Linked DNA regions of Callithrix jacchus. The protein of the gene in region 2 interacts with the protein of the main gene of each other region in a pairwise test. Links are inferred from orthologs where the notes say so. Each region holds a gene or a part of one and is shown on either strand. Other genes may lie near its edges. The genes, in order: ARHGAP19, ATXN3 and DNM2.

Region 1 (3,748 bases), on a different chromosome or scaffold from region 2:
TGGGGTTTTACCATGTTGGTCAGGCTGGTCTTGTGAGCCACCATGCCTGGCCAGCATGGGGTTTTTGATATACTCTGCTTCCAACCTAGGCTGTATCACTTCTCCTTAGGCATTCTGGTGGCCCCCACTCCTGGGAGGTCACCACGTTGATGCCACGCTTAGTGCAGACACCCCATAGGCATAGTGCATTGCAGCACAGAACTGGACTCAAGCAATTCTCTTGCGTCAGCAGTAGCTGGCTCAGCTCGTTGCCACCTCTGCCTCCCGGTTTCAAGCGATTCTGCCTCAGCCTCCCGAGTAGCTGGAACTACGTGCATCACCACGCCTTGCTAATTTTTGTATTTTGAGTGGAGACAGGGTTTCTACTCCTTTCACTCTACTGCACATATTTCACATTTAAAAGCAAATACTTTGGCTGGGTGCGGTGGCTCACGCCTGTAATCCTAGCACTTTGGGAGGCAGAAGTGGGTGGATCACCTGAGGTCAGGAGTTCAAGACCAGCCTGGCCATCATGGTGAAACCCCATCTTAAAAAAAAAAAAAAAGCAAGTACTTCTAGTTTGCCACTCCCTGTCTGATCTTGAGGAATTTCTCTCTGGGTTAAGACAGAGAATGTCTTGCCTTAAATTAATTAATTAATAGCTGGGAGCTGTGGCTCATGCCTGTAATCCCAGCACTTTGGGAGGCTGAGGTGGGAGGATTGCTTAAGCTCAGGAGTCCAAGACCAGCCTGAGCAACATGGTGAAACCCTGTCTCTACTAAACATACAAATACATAAATAAATAAGAAAAATTATTTATTTATTTTCAACTTTCATTTTAGATTTGGGGTAACATGGGTATGTTTGTTACCTGGGTATATTGTGGGATGATAAGATACAGGTATGGAGTGTTGTATTTTAGAAAGTGATGAGTCACTTTCACAGTCGACAGCTCTATAATTCTGAGATTTACATATCAGGACAAAATTTGAACGTAGGCTGGTGATTTCTGACTTGAACCTAAAAGTCGATGGAATCGAAAGGGTAATCAAAATGAGAAACTACAACTCCCGGCAGGCCTCGGAGCTGGGTCGTCTTCCCCGCCCCTCCCTTTTTTTTTCGCCAGGGCTGGGAACGACCAATGATGGTTAGTCATTTGAATAGACCAATAATATATTAAACGGTTCAGGTTGAGGAGGGGCGGTCGAGTCATCCAACCGCACGGAAGAGGTGGAAACATATTAGCCAATCCAAAGATGTGGGGGCGGGACCTAAGGGGGGCGGTGAAAGAAGTTTGCTGACGAAGATGGCGACTGAGGCACTGAGTGAAGGGGAGGTGCCAGCCCGCGAATCCAGCCGTAGGTGAGCTGAGTTTGGTCCAGTTTCCTGGGAAACACGGCCTTGAGCTAGTCGTCCTGCCGCCTTTGCCTTCGGTCACGGTGGCGCACGGTTTGGGCTTTGTTTCTTTCTCCCATGGCGTTTCTCACGGTCTCGCCTGCGGGGGCTGAGGCGCGGGGGTCCGGCCTCAGTGTTGGGCTCCAGCCAGGTCCCCCGCTCCGTCCTGCCGTTGTCCTAGGGGGCTCCGCCAGCTGTGCTGGCTGGAAGCTGGGGGTGGCAGCGCTGATCGCCTTGGCGCCGAGACTCCTCTGGATGGCGAAGAAACGGAAGTCCAGGGCTGTTTAGCGAATTCTTCACGGTTACACACATCTCTTCATATATTCCCCAAGGCACTTAGCGCGTTCAGATCCGAGCAAGGATTTGATGTCAATTAGAAACTGTGTTGAGTCCTTGGGCCAGTTTTTAAACCTCTCTCGACTTCAGTTTCTTCATCTGTAGAGGGGCATGAGGATACCTGTTTCAAAGTATCAAGATTGAATAAGACAATCCATTTAAAGCTAGCACTGAGCTAAATCGATAATGACAACTCTACGCGATAGAGTTTTTTCTTCCTAGCGGAACAGCTAAGGAGCAGATGGGGGAGGGATCTGTAGTCCAGGACATCATGACTTTATTTCCATAGGATGTTCTTTCCTAAACAGCCACACCGAAATTTAGTGTTTCCAGGAAAGAGTTTCGAGGCGGTGTTGCCTTAGCCTTGAGACCTAAGTTGTCTTAATTGATTACAATGTTGTTTTTTGGTATACTTCAATAAATTGAATTTATTTACATTGCCTCAGCATAACTCAATAAAATACATCGATTTGGCGTCTTTTGGTTCCATTTGTACAGAATAGGAGATTCCAAGAATCTTGGGAAGCTGACTTTATGATCCCGAGCCTAGATGAGTGTGCTTGAGTGTGTTATTTAAAATATGATACGGGGCTGGGCGTGGTGGCTCATGCCTGTAATCCCAGCACTTTGGGAGGCCAAAGCAGGCAGATCACCTGAGGTCGGGAGTTTGAGACCAGCCTGGCCAACATGATGAAACTCTGTCTCTACTAAAAATGCGAAAATTAGGCAGGTGTGATGATGGGCGCCTGTAGTCCCGGCTACTTGGGAGGCTGAGGTCAAGGTTGCAGGGAGCTGAGATTGTGCCATTGCACTCCAGCCTGGGTGACAGAGCAAGACTCCGTTTCATAAATAAAAAAATAAATAAAATATGATATAGAAGAATTTGAATTTCTTTGTTTCTAACACAGGTCTCTTTCTGTTGCCCAGGCTGGAGTGCAGTGGCGCTATCAGAGGTCCCTGCAGCCTCAGTCTCCCGGGCTCAATCCATCCTCCCTTCTCAGCCTCCTGAGTAGTTGGGACTTCAGGCATCCCTTCTCAGCCTCCTGAGTAGTTGGGACTTCAGGCATGTGCCACTATGCCCACCTAGTGTTTTTTTTTTTTTTTTTTTTTTTTTTTTGTAGAATCAGGGGTCTTGCCATGTTGCCCAGGGTGATCTTGAGTTCCTGGCATAAGTGATTCTCCTGCCTTGGCCTACCAAAGTGCTGGGATTATAGGTGTGAGCCACTGCACCTGGCCTGAATTTCTTTCTTTTCTTTTTTTTTTTTTTTTTTGAGACGGAGTTTCGCTCTTGTTACCCAGGCTGGAGTGCAATGGCGCAATCTCGGTTCACTGCAACCTCTGCCTCCTGGGTTCAAGCAATTCTCCTGCCTCAGCCTCCCGAGGTGGGCGCGCACCACCATGCTCATGTCTTTTTAGTAAAGACGGTGTTTCACCTTGTTGACCAGGATGGTCTCGATCTCTTGACTTCGTGATCCACCCGCCTCGGCCTCCCAAAGTGCTGGGATTATAGGCGTGAGCCACTGCGCCTGGCCACCTGAATTTCTTTATAGTATATTATATTGCTAGTTGAATTTAAATTTTGAGTGAGAATATTAGATAATTACATGATCAGCAGGCATTCACACAATCTTACCTGAACCTGAAACCATTTCATCAATTCCATGTTGTAAAAGAGAAGTTTGGGATTTCTGTAAGGCATTTTGAGGGCAGGACACACATATGTGTTTATCACATATTCCCAGTGCTTAGCTTTGTGTAGGTGATCAGTAATTAGTGAATAATAATCTGTAATTTCTAAGAGAAATATTTTCTCATGGTGATAAATACTTTACAAATTCTTTCTTGCCCTGAAAAGATTAATCTTTCTAATGTTCTATTGATGTGTGGCCCCTTTTTTTGTCTGATTGGCACAGATGAATACATATTTAAATATTGAATGCAGAATATGGATCATTTAGAACTGTCCAGCTTTTTGTTTCTTCCTCCTCCTCCTCATTATTTTTTTATTTTAATTTTTGAGATGGAGTTTTGCTCTTCT
Region 2 (3,748 bases):
ATGATGGTGGGCGCCTATAATCCCAGCTACTCAGGAGGCTAAGGCAGGAGAATCACTTGAACCCGGGAGGTGGAGAGTGCAGTGAGCCAAGATCACGCCACTGCACTCCAGCCTGGGCAGGAGAGAGAGACTCCATCTCAAAAAACAAAAACATCAACCTAAATTGTTGAATCTTCATTTGCTATGTACATACAACTTGATGATAACATTAAATGTATTCCTGAAGTATCTGTAGGCCTACACACATGCTAAGAATTAAGAGGGACTTCTTTCAGGTAAGTAGATTTTCACTAGGCTAGCACCCAACTTTTTTTCATACCATGGTTCAGTAGAAATGTGTCCCAACTAGGTAACAATCAATATCGTTGAAAACCTTGTCTAAATCTCAGGAAGTAGTGTGGAACATATTTAAGGCCTTCCATGTTGAGATGTGGTCCCACATCAAAGCCTTTGAAAGTTAGTAACAAAAATACGGCTGGGTGCGGTAGCTCATGCCTGTAATCCGAGCACTTTGGGAGGCCAAGGCAGGTGGATCACCTGAGGTCAGGGGTTCAAGACCTGGGCAACATGGACCCTGTCTCTACTAAAAATACAAAAATTAGCTGGATGTGGTGGTGGGCACCTGTAATCTCAACTACTCTGGAGGCTGACGCAGGAGAATCCCTTGAACCAGGGAGGAAGAGGTTGCAGTGAGCCATGATCGTGCCACTGCATTCCAGCCTGGGTGACAAGAGCAAAACTTGGTCTCAAAAAAAAAAAAAAAAAATTTTTTTTTTAAGTACATGTGTATTTTCCACCCACTCTTTAATTACTGAGCCAAGTAATTAAATCTCTATTGTCTATGATTTGTAAGTCATGTCAATCAAACCAAAAGATTAATAACAACTATACGACTGAGTCTTTCCTCCCCCACTCTAAATCAGTCTATTTTAAAAGTTTCCTAGATGTTTTCTACAATTTAAAATATTGTACTTAACAATTTGTTCCAGGCACAGTGGCTGGCTAATGCCTGTAATCACAGCACTTCGAGAGGCTGAGGTGGGAGAATCACGAGTCCAGGAGTTTGAGACAAGCATGGGCGACACAGCGAGACCCTCATCTCCACACACACACACACAAATTAGCTGGCCATGGCGATATGCACCAGAAGTCCCAGTGAGGCTGAGGCAGGAGGATCGCTTGAGCCTAGGAGGTCAAGGCTGCAGCGAGCCAGGATCTCTCCACTGCACACCTGCCTGGGTGACAGAATGAAATCCCATCGCTAAAATAAAAAATTTTTAAATAGATTCATATTACAGATTTACATCTGGTAAATTTATTGCCTTTGCTTTATTTGTTGTGTGTGTGTGAATTTTAAATGTCTGGGATAATTAATCGTGATAATTACTGATCATTTACAAGTATTTAATTAAACAAAAACCCTTTGCTCCTCCTATTAAATAACAGCCTCGCCAGCAACTCCAAACACGAAACTATTATGAAACAAGACATCATATGCCAAAGTTGTCCTGGGGAAGGCTTCACTCACACACAAATGGCTGGATTAATAGCATGTGAGTAAAGACAAGTTTCTCCACTTATCACAAACAGTATCTTCAAGTGCATGGTCACTGAAGAGTTAAAGTGACAGCGGGCTAGGCAGACCACAACAAAATCATTCCAATCCACTCCTAATACCCAAACACAAAGCTGGCCGCCTGCTCCGGAAAGATGGGAGTACCCAAAGAAACCAAACCCAAACATCCCGTAATAAAAACTTGTGACGACTTCCCTGTTAAGGGACAAGCCGGGTTTCCTACTTCACTTCCTAAGTGTCAGGCCCCAGTGTGGGGGAGCCAAGGTCCCTTCCTTCGGGAGGCTTGCGGACCCAGTGCAGGGGAAAGACATGAACAAGACTCCAAAGATCTACGTGTAGGGAAGACTCTACACTGCAATATAGAATTGAGCAGTCCAGAGATGAAAAAGTTAATTCTGCCAGGAATGGGGTAGGAGGGGTCGAGGGAGATGTCCCAGAGGTCACTCTAGCTAGACCCTAGGGAGAGAGAAGGCTTGCGGAGGTCAAAGAATCCTTCGAAAAGCGATTGAAAGTGACGGAAAAAGGCAGAAGCGAACCCACTAGGCGCCACCCCACTCCCTTGTCCCGAGACGCCCCGGCCCCGCCCATACACCCTCCCGGCTTCCCGGGCGGGGGCCTAGGAAGCAGCGGGGGAAGTGGGGGATTCTGTGATGCTCCCCTTCCAGAGCCGAGGAGGCAGGAGGCTGCGGGGTCGCCCCTCGCCCGGCGAGATCCGGATGGGGGCGACTCGGGCCCCACCCAGCCCCCTGGGAGGTTGTGATGCCGCGCTCCACGCCCGCCACCGCGCGGCAGACAGCTCCCCACCGCACGGACATACAGCTCCCCACCGAACGCGGACACTCACTTTCTCGTGGAAGATGGACTCCATGTTTATTTGTCTGGAGCCAACGGCCCCCGCGCGGAACCACCCCCTCCAGCTCCGCCCCCTGCCCCTCTCCTCCGCCTATCCCGCCCCTCCCTGGTCCGCCCCAGTCTCCCCGCCCACGTGCAGTACGTAGACCAATCACCCGTGAGGATGTGAGTCACGTGGAGCAAAGAGCGAGTGAACGCCAGCGACACGTGACCTTGGTAGCCCGTCCTCCTATATTCTGTTAGCGGGCCTTCTGGGAGATGCTACAGCGCCACCTGCTGTTTGGAGGATCTGTTCCGCTTCCCACCCATTTCTATGGATTCTTAGGTTTCTGGCCGGAGGTCTGGACCACTCACCTGGGTTCTATGTTCTTTTTGTTTTCCACTTTATTTGAACTTTCTACTGTGTTCAAATAACTATTTATTATCTTTCTCCTCCTCCTCCAATTAAAGGTTGTTAAGCAAAGGTGTCATTACATTCTCCCAAAACCTAGCACTTGTATAAAAATGATAGCTAGGCCAGGGGTAGTGGCTCACACCTGTAATCCCAGCACTTTGGGAGGCCGAGGCAGGCGAATCACCTGAGGTTGGGAGTTCGAGACTAGCCTGACCAACGTGAAGCAACCCCCATCTCTACTAAAAATACAAAATTAGCTAGGCATGGTGGCACATGCCTGAATTCCCAGCTACTCCGTTGGCTGAGGCAGGAGAATCGCTTGTACCCAGGAGATGAAGGTTGGGGTGAGCTGAGATCGTGCCATTGCACTCCAGCCTGGGCAATAAGAGTGAAACTCCATCACACACACAAAAAAGAAAACAAAAAAGTTAGCTAATATTCATATAGGGCTTTCCATGAGCTAGGCACTTTTCTAATTGCTTTACACATATTATCAAATTTAATACAGCAAACTTTGATGTCGGTGTTGATGTTATTCATACACATGAGGAAACCAAGGCACAGAGAGATTAAGAAGAGTACAATGTCCAAGATAGTAAGTTACCTTGCTAGGATTCAAATTCAAGTGGCTTGTTACCAGCATAGGTGTTCTGGCCCTTTAGAGGGAAATTAGAGGTGCAGTGAATTGTGTGGGAAACGGGGAGGTAGCAGCAGTTTGATGAACCTTAAATGGAAGGATAGGCACACATCTTGCACCTGGAAACCAGATTAAGATGCACTTTTTTTTTTTTTTCTGAGACGGAGTTTCTCTCTCTGTCCATCTCACCAAAAAAAAAAAAAAAAAAAAAATGGCTGGGCACGGTGGCTGTCGCCTGTAATCCTGGCACTTTGGGAAGCTGAGGTGAGATCACCTGAGGTCAGAAGTT
Region 3 (3,283 bases), on a different chromosome or scaffold from region 2:
CTCCCCGCGTGTCCTGCAGGGTCCTGGCAGGAAACGGGACACAGCCCAAGGGTGGGCAGGAGAAGGGGCGGCCCCCAGGCTGGGCACAGTGGGAGCTGCTGCCTTGCTGAGGCCTGAGAAGGGAGAGAAGGGGAATGGGGGCCAGCCGGCCTTGGAGCTCTAGGGCTGGAAACCATGAATAAATCCACCCCGTCTGCCCTCTGCTGGTGCCTTCCATCGGCACTGCCCAAATGGAAGCCAGGGTAAGAGGCTGGAGGGGCAGCAGCCACAGAACAGAGATGAGCCTCCTGGAGGACAGAGAAGGGTGGGTGGAAGGCTCTGGTGAGGCAAACGGAAGGTGTGGCCAGACCTGCCCTGCCCCCGAGGTGTCGGATGGAGTGTAGGCCATTGAGGCAGTCACAGGGAACCTCGGGGCCACCCTACAGAGCCCTTGGGGAGCCATGGTGTTAGGGGGAGTACATTGCACCTAGGCCTGCAGGCGGCAGGTGCTGGGGCCCAGGAGGGAATCTGGGTTTCTCGGAAGGGCTTGTGTGTTCCATGGCCCCTGAAAGCTTTAAGGCTTGATCTGGGAGGACTCTGGAGTGTCTGGCTGTGAGGGTGGATCCCAGGGCCCGAGACCTGAGGGAGCCGTGTGAGTGGGAAGTGCTTGGCCACGTTGGGGCTGCGGGGACGAGGTCAGAGGGCAACAGAAGCCCTTGGGGGCCGGGAGAAAGGGAAGGTGGGTCTGGCGCTCAGGTTGGGGTGGGAGGATCCCACTGCGCCTGCGCTGTCCCCCCAGCCTTGGGCCCTGGCAGCCACAATTGGCATGGCTGGGATTCCCACTCCGTCTGTAGTTCACACCCTTTCCTTCCTCACAGCCCTACTCCTCAGCGCCGACCCGTGTCCAGTGTGCACCCCCCAGGCCGGCCCCCAGCGGTGAGGGGTCCCACTCCAGGGCCCCCCATGATTCCTCTGCCCATGGGGACAGCAACCTCCTCCTTACCACCCCCAATCCCGTACCGGCCTGGACCACAGAGCGTGTTTGCCAACAATGACCTCTTCCCGGCCCCACCTCAAATCCCATCGCGGCCAGTTCGGATCCCCCCAGGGATCCCCCCAGGAGTGCCCAGGTAAGGCCAACCCCCTGCCCCCCACCCCAACTACCTGTACCCTGGGGTCTCTCCTCCAGTCTCACTGCCTCCCAGTGAGCTCTCCCCATGTGCCCAGCTGCTGGATTGGAGGAATTGTCCTCATCCCCATTTGGCTGGCTGGGAAGCAGGCCCAGACGGGCCAAGAGGCTTGTTCAGTGTCACAGAGTAGGGGAGCCCGGTGACTCCAGGGCTCCCAGCTTGCCCTCTGCCCACTGGGATGCACTACCAGGCAGCTGGGGATCCCTCATGCTGGGCACCTTCTCTCACTGTTAACCTTGTTCCTGCCTCTGCCTGCCTCACTCTACCCTGTGGGCCGGGCCTTATTCTCTCTGCTTATCCAGTGGGGAAGCTGAGGCCCAGATAGAGCAGGAAACTCACCAAGGGTCAAACAGCAGGTGAATCGATGCCTGGGGTTCAGCAAACTCCTCCCCAGCACCCTGGTGGCTTGTGGAGCCGTCAGCCCAGGGAGCACCCTGGGGTGGCGTGTGGGTGGGGGCTGGGTCCTCAACCAGGCCTGCCTCTGGCTCACGGCCTCACTGCCGTCTCCCCCTCCCCACCTGTCTTTATTCTCTTTGCAGCAGAAGACCCCCTGCTGCGCCTAACAGGCCCACCATTATCCGCCCAGCCGAGCCATCCCTGCTCGACTAGGCCTCGAGTGGGGGCATGCTCTCGGGGGGCCTCGCGCACCCATGGCACAGGAGCTTCAGTGGTCTGGGGCCCTCCACCACCCCTATGCTGGGACCAGGCTCCCAGTGGGCAGCCCTGGCCTCTTCCCTAATGCTGGCCCGGGTCCAGGGCCGGCCCCTGTGCCTGGCTGGGGGCAGGCACCGCACTGCGAGAAAGGGCCCTGGACCTCCAGGCAGGGGGTGCTGGGGTGTTGCACTTTGGAGGATGGGGTCTCAGGGTGGCAGAGGGGGGACCTGCACCCTCGACACCATCTTGAATGAGGGGTCCAGCCTGGGGGACTCTGCCAGGGTCTTCTTGGGCTGGGAAAGCCCAGTAGGGCAGGGGCCTTCTAGAAGTGGGGGCACCAAGGGCGCCTATGTCCCCAGGCCTTGCTGGGGCACGTCAGCGTCCCATCAGCAGGAGCTCCCCAGTGGTGAGCCTGGCCCCATGGGCTCTTCGGCAGTGCCCAGCTGCCAGGCCTGAGTTGTACATAGTCCTTCTTGGCCATATTAACCACACAGCCTGAGCCTGGCCCAGCCTCGGCTGCCAGAGGTGCCTTTGCCAGGCCTGGAGCCATTGGCCCAGGCCGGCCTCGCCCAACTCCTACTCTCCTCCTCCTCCTGGGTCCCCCAGGGTGGCTGGGCTTGGGGCTCTGTGGATGGTGGTGGCAGGGGGGACCTTGGGGGCCTCTCAGCTCCTGCCCATGCTACCCTGATGGGGTGGGCCCCAGGCGGCCTCTGAGCAGACCTCACCCACTCCTCGCTCGGTTTGACCACTGTAAGTGCCTGCACTCTGTATCCTATTAATAAACTAAAAATAAAGGGAAGACGCTGCTGGTGGCTGCTGTGTGGGCCTCTTGTGTTGGTGTTCAGGCTGGGGACGTGGGCACCACCTCCCCCATCAGGCCTCCCACAAGGACGCCCAGGTCCCTACAATCATAAGCGCCTCACACCTCACTCCCTGAAGGGCTCTGCTTTCAGGGGGGTCACCTTTCGGAGGAAGCCACTCGATACACAGGAGAGCTTTTACTTTCTTTAGCACATCAGGAGTGGGAGCAGATCTTCTCCACTGCCCCACACACCCCCATGCGCACAGGCCTGGCTGCTGCCTGGTGGAGCACGGACCCCAGCACTTCACCCCCTTCCTACCCTCAGTCCCTGCTTCTCACCCTCATGGGGAAGCCCAGGCCTTGTGGCCCAGCCAGGGCTCAGTTAAACTTTGCTTTCTGATTTTTCTCTTGTGCCAGGCGACCACCTCCATCGGCTCCCGCACGACCCTTCTTCTGAGCTTCGTGGGAGGCCCCTCCCGCCTGTCTGGTTGCCCTCTCGGGGCCGGTCTGTCCTGGCTGGTGTCCGTGAGCCCCAGTCAGCAGGCTCTGATTTTTCTGACCATAATTTATTGACTCCGATGCCCAGGCCACACCACCCTTTGTTCCAGGAGGCTTCTGCCTAGACATTGGCGGGGCCACCACTCATGCCTGTGTGGGG

What was found.
Region 1: the proteins of ATXN3 (region 2) and ARHGAP19 interact in binary tests that used the Homo sapiens proteins (3 or more experiments, as listed by UniProt). The link is inferred for Callithrix jacchus from reciprocal best matches to the Homo sapiens genes ATXN3 and ARHGAP19.
Region 3: the proteins of ATXN3 (region 2) and DNM2 interact in binary tests that used the Homo sapiens proteins (3 or more experiments, as listed by UniProt). The link is inferred for Callithrix jacchus from reciprocal best matches to the Homo sapiens genes ATXN3 and DNM2.

Annotation. Positions count from the first base shown.
Region 1 is NC_133513.1:90,127,207-90,130,954, reverse strand, and holds the start of ARHGAP19 (rho GTPase-activating protein 19), read left to right. Parts: upstream 1-1,261; 5' UTR 1,262-1,285; coding exon 1,286-1,341; intron 1,342-3,748. UniProt on the Homo sapiens protein: GTPase activator for the Rho-type GTPases by converting them to an inactive GDP-bound state.
Region 2 is NC_133509.1:126,952,888-126,956,635, forward strand, and holds the start of ATXN3 (ataxin-3), read right to left. Parts: upstream 2,515-3,748; 5' UTR 2,445-2,514; coding exon 2,421-2,444; intron 1,129-2,420; exon of another isoform or gene 990-1,128; intron 1-989. UniProt on the Homo sapiens protein: Deubiquitinating enzyme involved in protein homeostasis maintenance, transcription, cytoskeleton regulation, myogenesis and degradation of misfolded chaperone substrates.
Region 3 is NC_133523.1:9,995,368-9,998,650, forward strand, and holds the end of DNM2 (dynamin-2), read left to right. Parts: intron 1-857; coding exon 858-1,109; intron 1,110-1,708; coding exon 1,709-1,778; 3' UTR 1,779-2,635; downstream 2,636-3,283. UniProt on the Homo sapiens protein: Catalyzes the hydrolysis of GTP and utilizes this energy to mediate vesicle scission at plasma membrane during endocytosis and filament remodeling at many actin structures during organization of the actin cytoskeleton.